Astyanax mexicanus: one gene and its partner. The protein of the gene in region 2 purifies or fractionates together with the protein of the main gene of each other region. This does not show direct contact. Links are inferred from orthologs where the notes say so. Each region holds a gene or a part of one and is shown on either strand. Other genes may lie near its edges.

The links.
Region 1: the proteins of ulk3 (region 2) and cdc37 purify together in Homo sapiens (affinity purification with mass spectrometry; 3 studies listed by BioGRID and IntAct, with this or other methods). This does not show direct contact. The link is inferred for Astyanax mexicanus from reciprocal best matches to the Homo sapiens genes ULK3 and CDC37.

Annotation. Positions count from the first base shown.
Region 1 is NC_064428.1:42,796,287-42,807,504, forward strand, and holds the start of cdc37 (hsp90 co-chaperone Cdc37), read left to right. Parts: upstream 1-5,585; 5' UTR 5,586-5,727; coding exon 5,728-5,835; intron 5,836-8,737; coding exon 8,738-9,019; intron 9,020-10,050; coding exon 10,051-10,156; intron 10,157-10,265; coding exon 10,266-10,381; intron 10,382-10,670; coding exon 10,671-10,793; intron 10,794-11,218. Other genes in the region: probable serine/threonine-protein kinase nek3, read left to right, coding at 2,170-2,508, 2,776-3,024, 3,597-3,799. UniProt on the Homo sapiens protein: Co-chaperone that binds to numerous kinases and promotes their interaction with the Hsp90 complex, resulting in stabilization and promotion of their activity. Inhibits HSP90AA1 ATPase activity.
Region 2 is NC_064416.1:38,660,180-38,671,424, reverse strand, and holds the start of ulk3 (serine/threonine-protein kinase ULK3), read left to right. Parts: upstream 1-6,754; 5' UTR 6,755-6,846; intron 6,847-8,331; 5' UTR 8,332-8,341; coding exon 8,342-8,461; intron 8,462-11,245. Other genes in the region: tars3 (threonine--tRNA ligase 1, cytoplasmic), read right to left, coding at 153-277, 939-1,062, 1,444-1,631, 2,903-2,995, 4,157-4,510. UniProt on the Homo sapiens protein: Serine/threonine protein kinase that acts as a regulator of Sonic hedgehog (SHH) signaling and autophagy.

The DNA of each region.
Region 1 (11,218 bases), on a different chromosome or scaffold from region 2:
TATTTAACCAACATTTATGAAAAAATGTGTTGAAAATGTGCAACATTAACAGTGTTAGAAAGTAGCAGCACTATCAGCTATCAAGTTTTTCAAAAGACCAGCTTCATTTAACTTTATACAAAAAAATGCAATACATGCATTTGTATGTTTGTTTTACCTCAGTTTTTTACGTCTAGTGAGAAAAATCTACCCTGTATGACCAACTGAATATATATTTTTCCTACGTTTGGTATCCAAAATGATACAGTAATATCACTTAAATATATATATCTTAAAAACATGAGAAAGAGAACTTTAGGAATTTACTGATATGATATGATAACCCTTTTTTTATTTTCATGTTTTATAGGACTGTAAATTATTTTCTTATTTTTCAGTATTATTGCCGGAAACATCCATAATGAATACAATTAATGTTCTTCAGGACTTGGGTGGTATCATTTGATAGCCATTTGATTTGTTTTTTTATAGGATTAATTTTTTAATTAATCCCATATTTTTTTATTTCTAAAATGTTCCACTGTTTTACAGATAGTTGTGTTTCTGGTGTATATTTGTTGATTAGAGCTGGTTGAATTATGTTTATTCAGCTGTAAAACTAGTTTCTGTTCTATTTCAGTCTCTGCCTCTGCTCCTAAAGCCCTGCTGTGCACGCAGCTACCGTAATACACTGTTTAGACGTGCATACAGGTTTTCACTGCGGACAGTGCGATTTACAGATTAACTTTTACCTTCTAATCTCACGCGGGCCGAGCAAAGATGGTCAGAGGGCCGGTTGTGGCCCACGGGCTGTACAATGTGCAGGTCTGCATTACAGGAAGTGTAGGGGGCGCTCTATAATGCGCTATAATGTTCATATGATCCACACACTCATTCTGACAGAGTGTAATACACTACAGGAAGTGTAGGGGGTGCTCTATAATGCTCTATAGTGTTCATATGATCCACACACTCATTCTGACAGACTGTAACACACTACAGGAAGTGTAGGGGGTGCTCTATAATGGTCTATAATGTTCTTATGATCCACACACTTATTCTGGGATACTGTAATACACTACAGGAAGCGTAGGGGGCGCTCTATAATACGCTATAATGTTCATATGATCCACACACTCATTCTGAGAGACTGTAATACACTACAGGAAGTGTAGGGGGTGCTCTATAATGTTCATATGATCCACACACTCATTCAGAGAGACTGTAACACACTACAGGAAGCGTAATGAGCACTCTATAATGCTCTATAATGTTCATATGTTCCACACGCTCATTCTGACAGACTGTAATACACTACAGGAAGCGTAGGGGGTGCTCTATAATGCTCTATAATGGTCATATGATCCACACGCTCATTCTGACAGACTGAAATATATTACAGGGAGTGCCGGGGGCGCTCTATAATGGTCATATGATCCACACGCTCATTCTGACAGACTGTAATACACTACAGGAAGTGTAGGGGGTGCTCTATAATGCTCTACAATGTTCATATGATCCACACACTCATTCTGACAGACTGTAATCCACAACAGGATGCATAGGAGGTGCTCTATAATGCTCTATAATGGTCACATGATCCACACGCTCATTCTGACAGACTGTAATACACTACAGGAAGTGTAGGGGGCGCTCTATAATGGTCATATGATCCACACGCTCATTCTGACAGACTGTAATACACTACAGGAAGCGTAGGGAGCACTCTATAATGCTCTATAATGTTTATATGATCCACACACTCATTCTGACAGAGTGTAATACAATACAGGAAGTGCAGGGAGCACTCTATAATGGTATATAATGTTCATATGATCCACACGCTCATTCTGACAGACTGTAATACACTATAGGTAGCGTAGGGGGTGCTCTATAATGCTCTATAAAGTTTGTATGATCCACACACTCAATCTGACAGAGTGTAATACAATACAGGAAGCGCAGGGGGCGCTCTATAATGCTCTATAATGTTTATATGATCCACATGCTCATGCTGACAGACTGTAATACACTACAGGAAGTGTAGGGGGCGCTCTATAATACTCTATAATGGTCATATGATCCACACGCTCATTCTGACAGACTGTAATACACTACAGGAAGTGTAGGGGGCGCTCTATAATGCTCTATAATGGTCATTGTGATGTTTTGGTTGTGGTTTCTCTGCAGAGCGTGCGGACAGTGTGGTGATAGTTCGTGATAATGGTGATTGGTCAGAAGGTGAGCAGAGGAAGCTGAAGTGTGAGATTAAGAATGTGGGTCCAGTCAGTAATCTTACAGTGCAGTGGACCAGACTGGACCAAAACCAAACCAGAACCATCAGGGAGTCCAGGAATTTCACCATTTCTAGTAGAATGGAAGAAAAGGGGGATGTGACGGACACTCTGGAGGTTTGGACCAGTCCAGAAGAAGATGGAGTCCAGTATCAGTGTTCGGCTCTACTGGACCTGATCCAGTTCAAACAACAACAAGTGGACGAATCCCAACCCTTCAACATAACCGTACTCTGTGAGTTCACCTGTAAACCAATCTGAATTTTTACTGTAGTCCAGTCCTGTTCCTTCAACTTACTTCATTCTTTCTCTGCTGGAAACATTTGGGGAATTTAGCGAGTCAGCTAACGTCAACTAGCATGGAATTCTTTAGGGTTTGAGTTATTTGCATACAACATTAAATCAGAACACAGAGTTGTGTTGTCATTGTTGTGCAGTTTAACTCTAATGGTATGTCTCAGAGAAGTAGCAATTGGTTCTTTCTTTATTCTTTTCCCATCAGATAAACCCATCATAACACGGCCGTCTGCTGCCACTGTATCCAAAACTGCGGGCGACGCGCTGACGTTTTACTGTTCGGCACGAGGAAAACCGAAGCCTCAGTTTACCTGGACCACAGGTAACTCAAACATCACGCACTCCCCCCTCCTCAACATCAGCAACGTCCAGTCAGAACATCAGGGAAATTACACCTGTATCGCCTCCAACAGCAAAGGCTCCGCCTCCGTGACGGTGACGGTTACCGTTTCAGGTGAGTGAAATTCAGGGTAAACGTCCATCACATGTACAGGTGTAGTTACTGCAGGGCTGATGCTGCATGTTTCAGATTTTGCTCCCCCAAAATCAAAGTGAATCCTACCATTATCACGTTTTTTCACTCTCCTGAAAACATTAATCCCATTAGCAACTAATAACACTTTGCCCTTATTAACCAATTAACCAATTAACCGCATCCAAGATCCTGCAGGAACCTTCTGAGCTATCAGTCTCAATCCCACTATAGCTTTATTTATTTCAGCCAAATTTCATGTAAATAGAAATTATATTTCTGGAGAAAATGAGCCCTAAACATTGTTTCCCAGCAGTGATCATTTTCTTAATAAACAAAAATATTTTTTCATGACCTTTTTTCATACAGAAAACAAAATGAGAACTAAATAAAAAGTAACAAGTAAAAACTAAGACTATGACATGTATTATGTTTTTATAAAGAAATAAAATTTTATATTTCTCCAGTGATCAGAACATATTACTTAAAGATTAGAACAGCCTAAACATAAATCACACAAATCTGACCTAATCTCCTGATGTTCCTTCATCTAGTGCCCTCATCAGAAGACAACCTGCCAATCATCGCTAGCTGTGTTGCGGTTGCGGTGGCATTGCTGATAGTTGGACTCTTTGTTTGGTACTGCAAGCATTACCGGCACACACACATGGGCCGCTACATCCTGAGGAACCTGGCGTCCCGGCGGCACAACGCCAACGTGGCCCATTGCGACTCTCAGACCCTCCAGTCACACTGATGTTCTGATGTTTTGAAGTTTTCTGAAAAACCCCACGCAGCACAGCGGTCTCAGATATTCTAGCCCGCATACCACTGGTGGTCACAATTATGAACAGTGAATAAATGGTATTTTTATCTTCAGTAAACTGATCTGAGAGAAATAGTTTCCATATATATGTAATGTGTACAGGCTGCAGGTGCTAATCTTAGCTAATACACAATACAGCACAATACACCTTCTCATTGAATGGATTATGTATTTAGAAATAACTGACCTACTACTTTACACATTTTTTTTGCATTAAAAATAATAAATCTAATAATGGTTGATTTTCTTTGCTGTAAATGTGTTTGTTACACTGGAGGGAAAAACCTAACAATGCATAATAGACTTTTTTATTATAGTTATTTACAGGAGCTGTATGTAATATATTTACAATGTACAACTTTATAAAATTATGATGTGTGATCAGATATTAAGAAAATATGATAAGTTTAAGCTTAACATCAGAGCTTCAGTCAGTATATTCTTCTTTAGATTGTTTTTACTGAGCAGAAGTCTGTACAATGTAGCATCAGAGGAGTGGTTATGGGTGTGGAAACACAACACTTTCCACAATGCTCTGGCACTGGAAAACTATTTAACCCAGTGAATGGAGAAGGCTAAATTGTCCAGATCAAAGACTGAGCTGAACAGACACATAGTGTCGGAAAATGTCTTGAAGAATCTTTAAGAAAACTATTAACCTTACAAGTGTTCTACTTTTAGGTTCCTGATAGAGCACTTCATACGAAATTATGTCCAGAGGCATTTGCAAGTGATGAAATTGTATGTAGAACTGCAAATGTATAACAATCATACACATGAGTTCTATTTTTAATTACTGTAATCATATAATAGAGATTTAACAGTATTTTCCCCTGATAAAACAGAACCTAATGAGATGATAATGAACTCAGGAAGAACTCAGGCTTTAAAATACAGCAGAACCTGAGCTGTGGAGGAAACACCTTTAACATTAGTGTTGACACAGAGACCACAGGATATGTTCAGAGGTCCTGTATAGTCCAGGCTTTGCTTGGGCCAGAACTGATCGCTCAATGAACCAAACAATGAACCAAGTCTCAGAACCGCCTGCAGATTCTGCATCTCCGCTCTGTAGTACTGAATCTCCTGAAATTCTGTTCTTTCTTTAGTCTTTAGCCACCCCTAGTGGAGCAACTTAATCATTACAGCCTCTTTCTGGTTTACTATAAATACTACTGGTTTATTATTAATCAGATTATTAAGCTGATCAGTTTAATTATTAAACACTGTACACGTGTGTGTTTGTATTTCAGTAAAATAAGTATTTATGATATATGTAAACCAGAGTGATTTATAATTCAATAAATGTTTGGTTTTTATACCTCAGTACTCCTGCCCCTGCACACACTTTCATTTTATACCTCTGAATTTCTAATTCCTCTTATATGTAAGAATATGTTTTAATCGTATGTATAATTGTATTTTTATGTATACAATATATTGTTTTATATACATGAGTATATATATATATATATATATATATATATATATATATATATATATATATATTATTTATATTAGAATTGTGTGTGTGTATTAGATGTTTAGATAATTGTGTATAGATTATGTGTATTGATTATGTATTGTGATATGCATGCATCGATTACTGCACCGTGCGTTTCTATTGGACTGGTGACACTGTTGCTATGGTAACCGCTGCAGCTCTCTGCGGTAACACAGCCGGAAGGGGCGTGGTGATCCACCTCGTTGCCCCGCCCTCTGGCGCCGGAAGTGTTGGAGAGTTCCAGAAGGCGCGTGGGGTGGAGAGGAGAGCTCTAGAAGAAAGAGGAGAGCGCGATTATTGATTATTATTATACAAAATCAATCTGATTGGGAATTAGAGGAGAATAAACAGAGCCATGACAACTATCGATTACAGCGTGTGGGATCATATCGAGGTGTCTGACGATGAGGATGATACACACCCCAACATCGACACACCGAGCCTGTTCAGGTGGAGACACCAGGTAACAACACACTTGATTCTGTACACAGGTTCCACCTTATACACCTGTTATATAGAGGAGATCTGGCTGCTCTCTGTTTTCTGTTCTACTGTAATACTGGACCTTTCTGTGTTTTACATTACTCACAAGAGAGACCAGTTATTTGCTGCTTCATTCTCTAAATCTTTAAAAATCTACCTCAGTATCTGCTGTGATCATCTATGTTCTATATGTTACATATCTCTGCACCTTATTCTCTCTTAAACACTGCACTGTCCTGCCTGTTAAACTGTGTCGTCTGTTGTATTTATTGTAGTGTTATAGTTTTATGTTGCACTATCATAACACTTTTACAATTTTATGTTGTGCATTGTATTGTTGTTCCATGTTGCACCATGGATCCGAGATCAGTAAGTTTCTTACACTGTGTATCTGTACTCTTTAGTCTTTTGACTTGAGTTTCAGGCTAAAACCCACAAATACATCAAGCCTAAATCCTGCTTAATACAGAAATATATATAATATATAACAGAAATATATAATATATATATAAACCCATCTGAGTCATTTATCATCACATCATGTTTAAACCAGTGTAAATCATTTCCTTTTCGCCGTGGAACAATTGAAGTATTAAACTGTAATAATGGACATTTACCTTACCTGTACAAATCCGTGTACATCCACTGCATGGTCATTGTGCTCAAACAGAACTTACAGTAAATTAAACACATCTACATCGATTATTTAACTAATAAGAATATAAGAGGTAATATAGTAATAGTGAGTTATGTGCTTTCTGGCTGGAAACACCCCGATTAGCTATAAAGCTAAAGCTTAGTCTCAAAGCTTTGAAAGTTAAAAACCGAAAAATAATTGCAATTTTTGCATACGTAAGGCAGTAATACTAATCAAAACCAAACACGGGTAATTTCGTTAAATGGGGTTAGTAGAATATAGCACATTATAAATCAAATAATTAGTAAAATACTGGGAAAAAAATAATGCTGACTGTTAAACTAATGCAATTAAATCACAACCCCGTACTGACCCAGAGCTGTGACATGTCTATAACGCCACACTAGATAAAGCATTAATCACTAATGTAATGAGCTATATCGGGTTACTGCGCCTTAAATTATATAAATTATACAATATTAATAAAATCTACCTTAACAAACGCTAAGCTAAGCTAGCTTTGAGTGAACAGCAGCAGAGGCTAATTTCTTCTCAGAACTCAAACTCCACTATTGCTGAATTATAAATAAGTTAAACTTAATATACAGATTAATACACTAATGTACAGATAATTAACCGTTTATATGGTCAACAGAAAGACTGATATCACAGTAAATCCTCGCTGTTAGCCGCTGATAGCTAACCAGGCTTACAGTGTGACCGGTGGTGGAGCTAGCTTAGCTCATTTCCCCTCAGAACCGGAGCTAAATCTCACTACTGTCGCTTTTAACACACCAATAAAGCATTAAAGCATTTTAAATCATTAACCACGCGCTTTAAATCAGTTCCGCTGATTTCAGAATCTTACATTACATATAATAATAACCGAAAAATAATAAACACGGGACATTAGCTGATGCTAACCGCTAGCCTAGCTGACTCACTGAAAACTCTATACAGGCTAAGCTAAGCTAGGGTAAGCTAACTAATTCCTCAGACTGATTCTGACTACAATTTGTGAAAAACTCGAGTATTTTTCAGATTTTAAAGCAGCAGGTCGCTGATTTAAGAGATTAAATAAACACTGAAACGCAGTCGAAGCTAATTTACCTCAGAACTTTAAACTTAAAAACAGCAGTAAATGATCTGTATCTCCTAACGGGGTTAAACTCGGTTAAACCCGCCGCTTTATCTCAACTATCTCAATTTCTAATAACGGATTTAATTAAATAAAACAAGAAGATACGTGATTTAGATAATTAGCTCTTTAGGTTAGCTGGCTAACCCGTTAGCGGTGCTGCTGGATAAATTCTGCGTTTATATTACATTATATTATATAATGTTGTATTATTATATTCAATAATATTGTATTGTTTATATTATATTTTAATATATTGTATTGTTTGTTGTGGTTTAATGAAATCTGTTCACTGTTTCGAGCTGGACATTCTGTGTTTCAGCACAGCCAAATCAAATTAAATCAGAATTAACAGTGTTAATTAACAGGGTTAATTGTGATTCAAACACTTGTATTTTAGATTAACTGACACTACAGTGTTGTAAAGATGGTAGTATGTCATCTGTTACTATTGTGCCTGTGTTTAAATTTATCTAAATTATCAATAAAATGATTTAATATAAAAGTTATATTTTCTGTTAACAGGCGTGGGTGTGTGAGGAGAAGGTCTATATACATTTTCCTCTTTTAATGTATCCTCTTTTTAATCAGTTGATTAATCTTTAGGATTAGGGAGTGGGGTTCTTTGCTGGTGTTGGTAAAAGTATAGACTGGCTAAGCTGGTTAAGCTTCAGTAAGCTAGTGCTGATCAACTTATTATTTTAGAACAGGGTCCTGTTATTTTTTGTGTAGGAAATGCATAGATTTCGTTCATTGCTTCAGGTATAAATTCTAAATCCTTTATTAAATCTGCATTATCATGATGAGTCTAATAGGAGTTCTTGTTCTTAAAGTTAATGTAAATTGACTCTGGGTATAAAAAAATTCAGCTTTAGCTTATTGTTAGTTTTATTGTTGTAAATATTTTGATTATTCAGAATTACTCTGTAATGTCTGTATCATTGACAGTATTGTATAATATTTTTGTTAGTCTGCTCTAGATCAGCAGGTCTGCTTAATGCCACACGTTTATTCTGACAGACTATAGTACACTACAGAAAATGTAGGGGGTGCTATTGTTTTGTGTCTATCTCTGTCCTGAAGCCTCTGATTGTTTTACACCCTCAGGCTCGAGTGGAGCGTATGGAGGCATTTCAGAAACAGGGGGAGGAACTGGAGAAGAACCTGGCGGAGAGCAGGAAGAAGCTTCAGGAAGTTCAGAAGAAGGTCCAGGAACTCTCACTGAAGAGTACAGAGGAGGCCAAGCAGCAGCTGGTCAAAGCTCAGGAGGAGGAGAAGCGTCTGAAGAAGGAGGAAAGGAACTGTGAGAAGAAGGTGGACGAGTATCGCAGAGAGGAGAAGAAGATGCCCTGGAATGTGGACACGCTTAGCAAAGAAGGATTCAGCAAGGTGAGAAACACCTCAGAGGTCGGACCGTTTATAGATTTTACTCTACTACAGAGAAAAGCTGGGTGTAAAAACCTGTTCTGTAGTAACTGTAGTGTGAGTACCACTTACTGTCTGTAAGACATTTAATATTGTTTTCAGGTGGATTCTAAAGCTCAATACTTTTATATTTCTGCGTCAAACCTACGCCGTAGTTTGTGTACCTAGCAGCAGAGCGTGTTTATACTTCTGCATGCATGTATCAGCAGCTCTGCGTCGCTCTGCAGTTTAAATTGCAAAAAGAATGTGTGTGAGAGAACACGGGGCCGGCTGACCAATCACAGCTGTGGCTGTCCGTGTCGCACAACATATAGTTACATTTCCAGAGAGATGCAGAGTAGAGTAAGCAGTGGTGCGTAGGCTCGATGCAGAAGTATACATTTGCCTTTAGGTATTTTAGATCATAAATCAGGATGTTTTAGGTAATTGCTGTGGTATCTAGAGCTAAACTAAAAACACAGAGGTTCTTGAGTTGCTCCGTGTCACTGTAGTTTTAAATGAAGGCGTGGTACTCTAATCATTTTAAACCCACTGCCATCACCTCCAACAGTGTAATATACAGTCTTATTGCCCGTATACCAGAAGTGTCTCGCCTCTTCCGGAGTTGAGTTGACAGAACCTGAGGATACTGTTCTGAGTATGAAGAAACATCTCATTGAGTTTCTGCAGACTGTGAATAAGTTGGAATATTTTACCCACATGTGAATTTGCACAGGAGTATTATTAGCTGTTTTGTTTATGGACAGTTGGCATGGCTGGAGTCTGATATGAGCTCTGATCTGATCACCTGCTCTGTATTTTACTTTAGTCTGGACTGAAACACTTCTGATTCACATGGAGGTTCTTTATCATTTGCTTTCACAAAAATAAATATTTTGCACCATCAGAATGTGCAGCACTAATAAACCTTTCACTTTAGAGTTTAGTATAATGTTACTGCTGCTCTGTATTAATCTCTCTCTCTCTCTCTCTCTCTCTCTCTCTCTCTCTGATAGAGTGTACTGAATGTCAAGCCTGAAGTAAAGGAAGAGACGGAGGAGGAGAAAGAGGAGAAGCATAAAACCTTCGTGGAGAAATATGAAAAACAGATAAAACACTTTGGTAAGTCGCTGTGTGTGAAAGTAATATTGCTTTATTGAATCTGGATCAGAAAGACAGTGACTGGTTAGCGTGTGTGTGTGTGTGTGTGTGTGTGTGTGTGTGTGTGTAGGTATGCTGCGTCGCTGGGACGACAGTCAGAAGTACCTGTCGGATAATCCTCACCTGGTGTGTGAGGAAACAGCGAACTACCTGGTGATCATGTGCATTGACCTGGAGGTGGAGGAGGTGCGTGTGCTATGTTTACATGTGATGGTATTGATGATGGTAAACTATTACAGTTTTCTTCAGGTTTAGTTTTTCATGTCCAGTTGAAAAAAAAAGAGAATTTATTAGATTATTTACTAACAAGTTAGAGAAATATGGATCTTCTGATCTTCAGACTATCTGGTTTAGTCTAGATGTTGGAGCTCTGCATTCTACACTGTTCCCATAAACCCCGCTCTTGATACCTTTACCTGCAACTATTCATTATAATGAACCCATTTGTGTCTGTGTGTGTGTGTGTGTGTTTCAGAAACATGCTCTGATGGAGCAGGTGGCCCACCAGACGATTGTAATGCAGTTTATCCTGGAGTTGGCTAAGAGTCTGAAGGTGGACCCTCGGGGCTGCTTTCGCCAGTTCTTCGCCAAGATCAAGGTGTGTGTCCCTTAAACACACTCAGCCCTCAACACACAATCTTCACATTCATCCACTGTATCTTTAATGTATGTGCTGTTTACCTTACAGACAGACAGACCGACAGAGTGTGTGTGTAATGGAGAATGGAGGTAGTGCAGTTGAACACAGTAGATAAGGAACACCAGTCGATGTTAATAAAGAGAGGATAACTGATGTCAGCCATAAAGAAAGTGCAAATACACAGTTATAATATAAATAATAATTTAAATTTAGCAGTGCAAATTTGTAGAGATGTAAACTGTGGATAGTAAATAAACTACTAGGGCAAAAAAGTGTAGAACTACAAAAATATTATAATGTGGCATCTCTGAGAGTGTGTCTGCAAAGATGGGGGTGTGTCCATGTAGTGGCCGGAATGAAGGTGTCACAGAGTCTTCAGTTTG
Region 2 (11,245 bases):
AGTGTCTGTTTCTGATATCTGATCACCATTACCTTATTAGAAATTAAAACTACTCAAAGAAGAAAAAAAAGTATCACTGTTCAGTCAACACACAATTATACCCCACAAGTACACACTAAATATGGCCTAATGGTCATAAGCTTTACACTTACTTTTGCTCATCCAGGAACATGTCGTAGTAAAAGCCGTTTTCGATGGGTGGCCCGTAACAGAGGCAGCCCCCATAGAAACGCTCCATAGCTTCACCCAGGATATGAGCACTAGAGTGCCAGTATACCTTTAAAAAAAAAAAAAAAACAGATAATAAAGAAAGATAATAGCATAATATACCACAGTTAAATAAAACAAAATATGATACTAAAAGCCATATCTATAAAGAAACACAAGCAAGCCAGCCTGTTTCACCCATTTGAGTTGAGTTTAGGTCAGGGGATTTTTGCTTACTACATAATTCCATATGTGCCTATTAATTATGTTCATGTTTTAATATTAATCTAAAGTGAAGAAAATTAATTAAATAAAGTAATAAAGTAAAATGACATTGTTAAATGGTACTGTATATCCACGAAAAAAAATAGGGGTTGAAAAAAAAAAAAAATCTACACAGCAATACAGTACATCGATGTTTTTGTTCACAAAAATGTATTGCAATTTAATTTTTTTTTCTGCACACTTATGTTGCCAGTTAAACGTCTTAGTGTAGCGTAGTTGGGTTCCCAGAAAATCTTACAGCACTTCATGGTTTCCTCAGCTGACAACTTTTATGGAGATGTGGATTTCATTTTCTAGCAGGACTTTTCCAGCACACTGCTAAAAGTACCAATTGATCTTACATAATATTCTAATTTTGTAATTTTTATATAATATTCGATTTTTTATTCTAATGGGCAATATAAAAAAAGTTTAATATCAAATATTTAAAAGCGTCAGATACTCACGGCTTGAGCGTCTTCATGGTCGAAGCGCAAAAGCTCCAGTGAACAGTCCTTCTCCAGCGGCCGGTCCAGATCCCACAGGCCACCGTCCACACGGGCAATCACACAGTTATCAGCCAGACCCTGACTGCAGCAATACACAGACACAACACACATCATAGAACGCAGCGTTTTTATGGAATATCTTATAGCACTTCATGCTTCCCTCTACTGACAACTTTTATTTCATTTTCCAGCAGAACTACCCACACTGCCAAAAGTACCAATTGGTCTGATTTTCTGAGACACTGATATTTGGGTTTTCATTGTCTGTAAGCCATAATCATCAAAAATAAAAGAAATAAACATTTAAAATAGATCACTCTGTGTGTAATACATCTATATATAATATGTGAATTTCATATTTTTAATGAATTAATGAAATAAAGTAATTTTTTAATGACATTATAATATTATGAGATGACTAGTATATACTAGTTGTGTAAATAAAAAAATACTATATGTATACCTGATGCCACAGGCCAGCTGGTATGGGGTGGTGATCCAAGACTGAGCCTCCACTTTCTGTCCATCAGGCAGGACGACTGAAATGGGCTGGCTGTTAGCCGCCTGCTTGGCCAGAATGGCGTCGCTCTCCTTCTTCAGTCGATTGTACAGCTCTAAGCGCTCGGAGATGTAGCTCGGCCAAGGCTTTAGCTGTAGTGGGCAAAGATGCATGTTAGCATGAGGCTAATCTTGCAGGTATTAGAGCTTAGCTAACTCAGCTGGACACTGGCAGTTTTTTAAATGTTGCATCATTCATGAAGTCATCTAGGTAGCTATATGAATGAGGTTCTACTGATCCCATGCAGTGATTTCCAGTATAGATTCAACAGCATGCACAAGCAATCACCATGTATTGTCCCCTACACACCAGGATTTTAAGGTTTATTATTTACAGTTTTCATAATGTTATTTAAAGAGCATTTTTTTTAGAATTGCTTCTCAAATTTGAAACATGGAGCCCACAGTTGCTTCTGAAGGCTCACTCTCTCTAAATGCTCTTTTAAAACCCAGTCACATGAGTTAGTTCCAATATTCCTATTGCAGCTGGTGCAGAACCGGACTCTCTAAATCTGAATAAAACCAAAGACATGGCTGTTGACTTGAGGAGGGCACAAGGTTTTCTTTTATTAGCATGTTCATCATGCCATTACCAGGAGCACTAGTTACATAAATAACCCTTAACCCTGTTAAATCCTTGTCTGAAAGAAAATTTACTAACGCTAAATGGAACCTCACATACAGAATCACCCACACAATATATGCTAATTACTGCAACTATCTTTATTTATAATAATTACAGAGAGTAGGAGTCTGACTGGAACAGACACAGTCTTACTGTGATATAATAAGTATAATTAGAGTCTGGACAGACTGATCCCGCTGCTGATCACGGGTCAGTACTAACATGGACACACACCAAAGCCAGTCTAAAAAGAAGGCAGGCTTTATGATGCAATAGCAATGCAATCTATACGGGCTGTGGATCATGAGCTCACTCTTCTGTTCAGTGCTGTAATCATAATTCAGACAGAAAAATCTAGTTTAAACTAGTCTGATACACCCTGCTGTAATTTTCTGATTCATATTCATGAAAAACATGTTTTAGTGATGCTTAACTAGTATAGGCTATTAACAATTTGGTATAGTCACCGCTTAAGAACAAGACAAGGCAGATTAAGTGTTTATCATCATCATCATGTGTTTAGGTTACATTTCCTCAAGCCTTTTTTTCGTGTTAATATTTTGTGTGTTTATAATTTATATTAATATATGCTTGTGACTGTTTATGTATATGAGCATTTTATATACACATACATGCTCTGTTCTATATATTGCTTTGGAGGGTTGAGGCAAGATTGAAAGAGCTTGTTTCTTCTAGTTTTGTATTTCAAAGAAGATCTATAAATAAAAAATATATATACTTCTCCCGCTCCAGCTTCTCCTTTGGGTTTCTCCTTCTTTTTGCTCTTCTCTGCTGCATTTTGGGCATCTGGAGTTTTCGGCAGAGCAGCATTCTGGAGTGTGCATTTCAAAAGAGAACAAAATATTAAAATACAAATCATATTAATACATCTCCCAAAATGAGCAAGCAACATCTAAAAGGAAAGGTCCATTATATTTAGCATTATTTGGTTCTGTATAAGAGCTGATCTAAACTGACAGAAGGACACAGAAAAAATACAACAATAAATTTGCTTTGTGGCATCTTCATTATTTCAGCACACACTGTAACTGTGATATGATGGGTTGTATACTGGTAACATTAAAGGTTGGACTGTGTTTTATTTAGCTAGGGCTGCGTAATATATTGCTTTAACATCGATATTGCAATGCGCTTCCCTCAAAAAAAAAAAAGTAAATTAATTATTTAATTAAAAATAAATAAATAAATAAATTGCTACATAATTAAAACTTTCAACAAAACACAGTGCAGCTGTCCATAAAAAAAAGTGTATCGTCCAAAACAGCAACTTTACAGGAGCGCAAAAAAAAAAACTTCTTAACTTTCAATGGTAATGAATACAAAAGGATTTTATTTTATTTTAGGTAATTCTGAAGAATTCCTATTGGTCCATTTATCAAGACTTTTTCACACAGAGTAAGGGATAATGTGTGTGTGTTCACATGCTCACTACACTAAAATCAAAATCAACAAAATGTTAAATATTGTTTAGTATTGGACAGCGACGATATACACATTTAATGTGTGTTTAATTTCGCATAATTTTGCTGTCTGGGATGTACTATTGTATTTCTTTAGTGAGGAGAGCCTATTAATGTCAAAGATCCAGCGTGTCCACTTTTATGTTTCACTATTTACAAAAATATAAAAATAATATAAAATAAATATTAAATAAAATAAATATTTTATTATAAAATAATATAATAAACAGAGTATTTTGGTACTACCCTACTATTTCATCATTATCTTTGTCAGTGACATGAAATATTAAATTAAATTGACAGTTTTATTTTTTGCAATTATTTCTGGGGCAATATTTTATACAGCAAAACAGGTTATTGTGACAGGCCTACACAAAATACACTGTTTTAAGGTTTGGATTTAATTTAGCTTATATTACACATAGGCCATATCACTCCCCCAGCTCTCCCCAGTGATAATAACCCTGGTATAATTAATAAATCTCTGTTATGAGTGTATCAGTGTATCAGACCTTGTTCTGGGCTGTGTCTCTGGAGGTTGTTTCTCTGGTGCTCCTCTGTTTCTCCTGAACGCTGTTGTTGTTGTTGGTGGTGGTGGTGGTGGTGGTGTTACCGGGCTCTGGGTCTCGGCGCGGCTCCGGTCCCGGTCCCGGTCCCGGCTCGGCCTGCAGGCCGCGGCGGAGGTGTATCAGCCGGTATCTGAGCTTCTCGTTCTCGCTGCGCAGGTTCTCCAGCTCAGCGCTGCTCGCCAGCTCCGCGGCGACCTGCCCGCTAACCAGCCCGTCCCGCAGGCGGCCGATCTCCCGCCCCAGAGCCTCGATCTGCCGCTCCTGAGCGGCTAAACGTGCCGCCATGCGGTCCGCCATGTTTAAATCCCCCTTTCCGTCTGACCCCCGGGGTCTCTTATTTATTTCATTTATAATAAACTGGACTTTAGAGATATGGAGACATCTAGTGGACATTTATGATATTTAACTGAACACAAAGTAATTCACACTCAGACTTCAGATATATACAGCTCTGGAAAAAAAATGAGACCACTTACAATTATGAGTTTTTTAATTTCACCAAATTGAAAACCTCTGGAATATAATCAAGAAGAAGAAGAATGATCACAAGCCAATATACAAACCAAGCTGAACTATTGCTGAATTTTAGCAGCAAGAGTGGCATAAAGTTATCCAAAAGCAGTGTGTAAGACTGGTGGTGGAGAACATGCCAAGATTCATGAAAACTGTGATTAAAAACTAAAAATTCCATCAAATATTGATTTCTAAACTCTTAAAACTTTATGAACATGAACTTGTTTTCTTTGCAGTATCTACAAGCTCTGCATCTTTTTTTTATTTCAGCTATTTCTTATTTTCTGCAAATAAATGCTCTAAATGACAATATTTTTATTTGGAATTTGGGAGACATGTTGTCTGTAGTTTATACAATAAAACAACAATGTTCATTTTACTCAAACACATACCTATAAACAGCAAAATCAGAGAAACTGATTCAGAAACTGAAGTTGTGTCTTATTTTTTCCCCAGAGCTGTTTATAGGGGTTTGAACATGTTGATAATAAAAGAGTCTGCAAAACGTATTGGAGTACAATATTAAAATAGTCATTTTTTATATAATAGTAAAATAGTATTTTTGTATTTGAAGTTATTTGTATAATGTAGTAGGAAAAAAACAAGATGTAGTGGAGTTAAAGTAAAAATTTCACCCAAAATTGTATCTTTGAGGACAGATCTGCACTCTCTTTGTATTTTAATCTGGAATAGTTTACTCTACTTGTAAGTAGTGAATATGAGGCGTGTGCGACATCTGGTGGACATTCAGAGTATTGCAGCGTGTGTGCAGCGTAATGAAAACACATGGGTACATTTGATTGTAACACTCCTATTAGAAAGCTTAGGCCACAAAATGTTTTGCTTACATTATGTAAAGAATTTAGTCCTTTAACCCTGTATGAAATTAATTGTATTTTTTAGAGGAAAAATATCATTTTTTATATTCATGTGATATAGCAAACTTAAACATAGATTTTAATGTATCTTATGATGGTCAGATTATAGATGGATGCAACTCCATGCTCAAACCCTGGTTAATCAGCTAATGAGCCCAGCATGATTAAAGCTTATGTAGAAGAGATTTTTTTAACTGACAGTATTTGTAAAAAAAAAAAAAAAAAAAAAGAAGATTTAAAAAATGAATAAAATGTTGAATGTGCTAACATGCTGTGTGTGTTTTAGAGATTTTGGTCTATGTACAGTAAAAAAAAAAAACATGGAAAACTGCATGGAGTTAATTTGGTGCCAAAATGTTTATACAAAAATATTAAATCTGTATTCAAAATTGCAGATTATGTACATATTGGTACAAAAAATAAAGTAGAAAAAAATAGGAGTTCCAGTAGTGAAAAGACAACAATAACAAAATCACAAAAATGAAGGCAACAACTGGCAACATCTAAACACAAGCAATTTTTAAATAACTGCAAAGAATAACAAAGTTACCAAGTATATTTCTTTCAGTTTTGAATTTTCAACGTACAGTTTTTCCTTTTGATTTTTACAATTTTGATTGCAGATTTAATTGTCATAGATTTTACTCTGTAAGCTATTTTTTAGAGTGGAGAGACACACAGTCCAAGCTGCTTCAGGTCTAGTGTGAAGTTTCTACAATCAGCGATGGTTTGGAGAGACATGTCATCTGCAGGTGTTGATCCACTGTGTTTTAATATCAAGTCTAAAGTCAGTGCAGTTTTTTTTCCAGAAAATCTTACAGCACTTCATGCTTCTCTCTGCTAACAACTTTTAGATGCGGATTTCATTTTCCAGCAGGACTTAGCACACTGCCCACACTGATACAAAAAGTACCAATTGGTCTTATATAATATTAAAATTTTCTGAGAAACTTATTTTTAGGTTTTCATTGGCAGTATTCCAAAAATCAACAACATCATACATCAAAAATATTCTATTTTTTTAGGTAACCTGGATATTTTATCTAGAATATTTATTAGACAGTTTTATTAATGGTGGGAGTGTTCAGTGGAGATGTGAAGCGTGGCCGGTAGGTGGCAGCACTGGGGCGCAGTTTTCGCTGCGTGCTGACGTCATTTTCAGCTGACAGTAAGCATGCACAGGAAGAAAACATCGGGCTGCAGTTCATCCAGCTGAAGCGGCTCTTTACCCCAGAAAGGAAGGTAAAACAGCTCAGAAACAGCCATATTTACAGATTTAAACCCTCCCTGTGGGACTACAGTGAAGCTGCGGTATTGGTCAGCCTGTTATTCAGTTATCTAGCTGAGCGCTGAAGCGGAAATACTGTATTTTATATATTCATGACTCCAGAATGATGTAACTTAGTTAACCTAACTAGTAAACAAGCTAACTAACCTATTTATTTAATGAGCTGTTGCTTATTTATTCAAGCCAATTTCAGCTTTGTTTAGACAGCACAGGGTCTTCAGGGTAAACAGGGTAACTCCAGAAGAAAGGTTCTGTCTGTCTGTCTGTGGGCTTTATAAATACAGTGATATTAAAACATTTGGGTACCCCGGACCTTTTTTATAATTTTTCTTTATAAATCATTGATTGTTCAGATGAGCAATTTCAGTTAAATATATAATATAGCAGATGAACACAGTGATATCTGTGAAGTGATTTACAAAAAGTGTGAAATTCTTTAAACTAAATTAGGCAGGTGTATAAATTTGGGCTCGCCAAAAGAAAAATTACATCAATATTTAGCATATCCTCCTTTTGCAGAAATAACAGCCTCTAAACTTTTCCTATAGCTTCCAATGAGAGTCTGGCTTCTGGTTGAAGGTACTTTGGATCCTTCTTCTTTATAAAACATCTCCAGTTCAGTCAGGTTTGATGGTTTCTGAGCATAAATAGCCCCTTTAAATCACATCACAGATTTTTAGTAATAATATTCAGGTCTGGAGACTGAGATGATCTGAGATGATCATTCCAGAATGTTGTACTTGTTCCTCTGCACTAGTGCTTTAGTAGATTTTGAGCAGTGTTTAGGGTCGTTGTCTTGTTGAAGGATCCAGCCCCAGCGCTTTAACTTTCTCACTGATTCTTCAACACTGTTCTTAAGAATCTGCTGATATTGACTGGAATCCATGCGATTCTTAACTTAACAAGATTCCCAGTACCTGCACTGATCACACAGCCCCACAGCGTGATGGAACCATAGCAATCTTAGCAAGTCAAATTCTAATTTTAAAGCAATAAATCTTTTTTCTCCCCTGATAAGAGTTTTTTGTCTTTCTAAGCACTGTAAGAGTTAGATTATTTATGAAATAATTATCTTACTTAGTCTTACTTAGAAGAGACTCAGTTTTACTTCACTCATTTTGAGACTTTGCGGTTGCTTTTTAAAGAAATCTTACTAAGAAAAAAATGATTTTATTTAAAGAGAACACAAAAGCATTTTATACACACATAAACTGAAAGGAACTACAGATTTAACATATTGTATTGAATTAATCATTATTTGTATTTGTAGTCATTTTGATAATGTATTTGAGTAAAATGTAATAAATATGAGTTTGAAATGTATTGAAATTATATGTAAATACTAAAGTACAAGCTACTAAGTACAGTGGGATTACATGTACTTCATTACTGTCCAGCACTGTGTAATGTAGTGTATTTATGTATCTGGATCTTGGCAGGAGCTGGTGGATGTGTCCTGTCCAGGGAAGCATGGCCTCGAGCTTTGCCCCACCGAAGCTCGCTGACTTCATTCTGACTGAGAAACTTGGGAGTGGCACCTATGCTACCGTCTACAAAGCCTACAGGAAGGTGGGTGGGATATAGTTTAAATAGGCCCATGTTTGAGAAACATATCCAATATTTAGACAGTGCTTCTACTTAGAGCTGCTTTCACTGCTTTAAAATGTGCCCACTGCTGACACATGTGTGATTTCTGTGCACACAGCTCAATTCCCAGTGGCAAGCTTTCGATAGAAAGCTTTAATCTCCCAGCATTGGGCTGTAGGGCAGTGGAACTGTGTGGAACTGTGTTTTCTGAAATGATTGAGCTCAATCTGCTACTTCTGCAATGAGCTGGAGTGGCGGAATGACTGAGGTGCTGCTAATTTAGATGAATGCAATCAGATTCTTATATCTAGAGTAAAATACTAGTGTTACATCTAGCCTAAAGCCCTGCCAGCAGCCAGTAAATGAGTAAATGAGGAATACTGACTCTTATTAGGCTTGATTTCAGAGAAAACACTGAATATATACTGTGGTTTTGCACTTTTTGGTGTGAGGATTTGATTGTGCTCACTCACTGTAGAAGCTAGTGAAGTCAACCCAAAAGTATGGGATGGAGCATCATGGAACACTTGATGCTGTGGGGGGTGGGGTAAGGGGGGAGGGGGCTCTATACCCCTCTATCCCATTCCTGGTATGAAGTACGCTGCCAATTAGGGCTGTGTATTTGCAAGAACATGGCTATACGATATGTATCATAATACAGGGGTAACGACAAAACACAACACAAAATGAACCTATGTCTGACAACAATCTTCACATGTAAACTAATAATTCGATTCGTTTTTAAGATTCAGTACAAAATTACAAAACAAAATATTATGATACTTTGATATATTGATATTTTCTTACAACCCTTACACAGCCAGTAGGTTTATGTTAACTTTTATTGTAGTAAAACATGATAAAAAAGTACTTACCTTTGATGAATAGCACACCTCCATTCTCCCACAGTGTTCCAAGATCCAGAAATTTTAACAGTTTGTTTAAACACCCTTCAGACTGGGTGACACAGGCTTAATTTGCCCTGATAAATCGCTTTTCCACCATTATTCAGGCTCAAAGTAGCTCTACACCTCCTTGTTAGAATCTGGAGAGCCTTGACATTTAAAACAAGGCATTAATAACTTAAAAAGTGCCCAAGAAGCTTATTAAAAACACTGTTTACCCATAATGCTAACTTCAGCTCCAAGCGCCGCCATTACTCATGGCACCGGCTGCTATATACATAGACTCCGCATAGTGTAGCAGCTGGCATCAGCTTCTTGTGCACCTTTTTAAGTTATTAATGCCTCGTTTAAAATGTCAAGGCTTTCCAGATTTCATTTTCATTTCATTTTCCGGATTTTCAATTTTTGGATCTCGGAACGCTGTGGGAGAACGGAGATGTGCTATTCATCAAAGGTTTGTACTTTTATCATGTTTTACTACAACAAAAGTCCATTTTCCACTAGAGTTTTCCTTTAAGTATATATCAGTTGTAATTGACCTATATTTAAATACAACTTAAAAGTATTAGATTGTGCTTTTGAGGGCTTTTTTCATATACGTTTTTCAAACTCAAGTACAATTAAGAATGGGTTATTTTAAACATCATTTTTAACACACTTTAAGTATATTGTAAATGTACTACTTTGCGTATTGTCATTAAGTATATTAAAAAGATGCTTATTCTTAACCTAATTTAACATATTTTAATGCTCTTAACTATACTTCCTTCTCACAAGGGTAGCTGAATATATTTATTAATAGAGGTGTTCACAAACATTTGGATATGACATGGAGTAAAACATACAGTTAGTGTCTGCAGCACTAAATGAGTCAAACCCTGTGGTTTAAACTCTGTGGTTGATTCATATTCATAGTTTAATGAAACCTATTAGGTCACATGACAGTCTTTGAAGAGTATGGGTGTGAAATGCTATGATGTGGCTGTTTTGACAGAGATATAAATAGCTGATATATCTGTCATAGGCCAACTCACACCCGCACAAGCACACACACAGATTAATAACATTACTAAACGGATTGTCATAACTTTGGGATCCAAAGTGCAAAAGTCCAGTCATATTGACCCTTATTAATAAAGAAACAATTGTGTATGATTATATTAAATCATAAAATGACAGCATTGTAATTCCAATTTAATTGCTCAATTTCATCTGTACAGTTGTACAGTACTAGACTGCAACATTTTCAAGATTCAGCATCTATTTTATTATCAATAACATAATAGTTGTTTTCCTTACAAAAGTTACAAACCTACAATAGATGCACTTTTTAGTTATGTGCTCACACATATATACCAAGGCTGAATCTTTTAAAGTTCTTTTTAAAGATATGCTTCTTTATCACATAAATGAAATATCTTATATCATATATAATAGAAATACTGTCAATCTGATACAACTGATAAGAAAAATTGTGCAGTTTCCACATTATGAACTATAGAAAATGTCCAGAAGATCAGGACTGCAGCGTTTAGCTGAGGATTATTTGTGTCAGGGGGATTCTCATTACAGAAAATGCTCCCTGTTGTTTGGGAAAGGGGCGGGGCCTGTGTAGTAAGACATGATATAACCCAATGTGAATTCTCTGACCTGCTCTATTCACACACTATTTGCTTAGTTTTAGTCTTCTGCCTAAATGTCTGATAGATTTTAGTCATTTAGTTCTTAGTTTTAGTCTAGTTGTATTCAATAAAAACTGAAAACATTGTAGTCCAATTTTATTCAAAACATTTAGTCTAATTTTAGTCAATTTAAAGGTACAGTTCAATTAACTCTACATGTATTTTTAATTATTTTACAG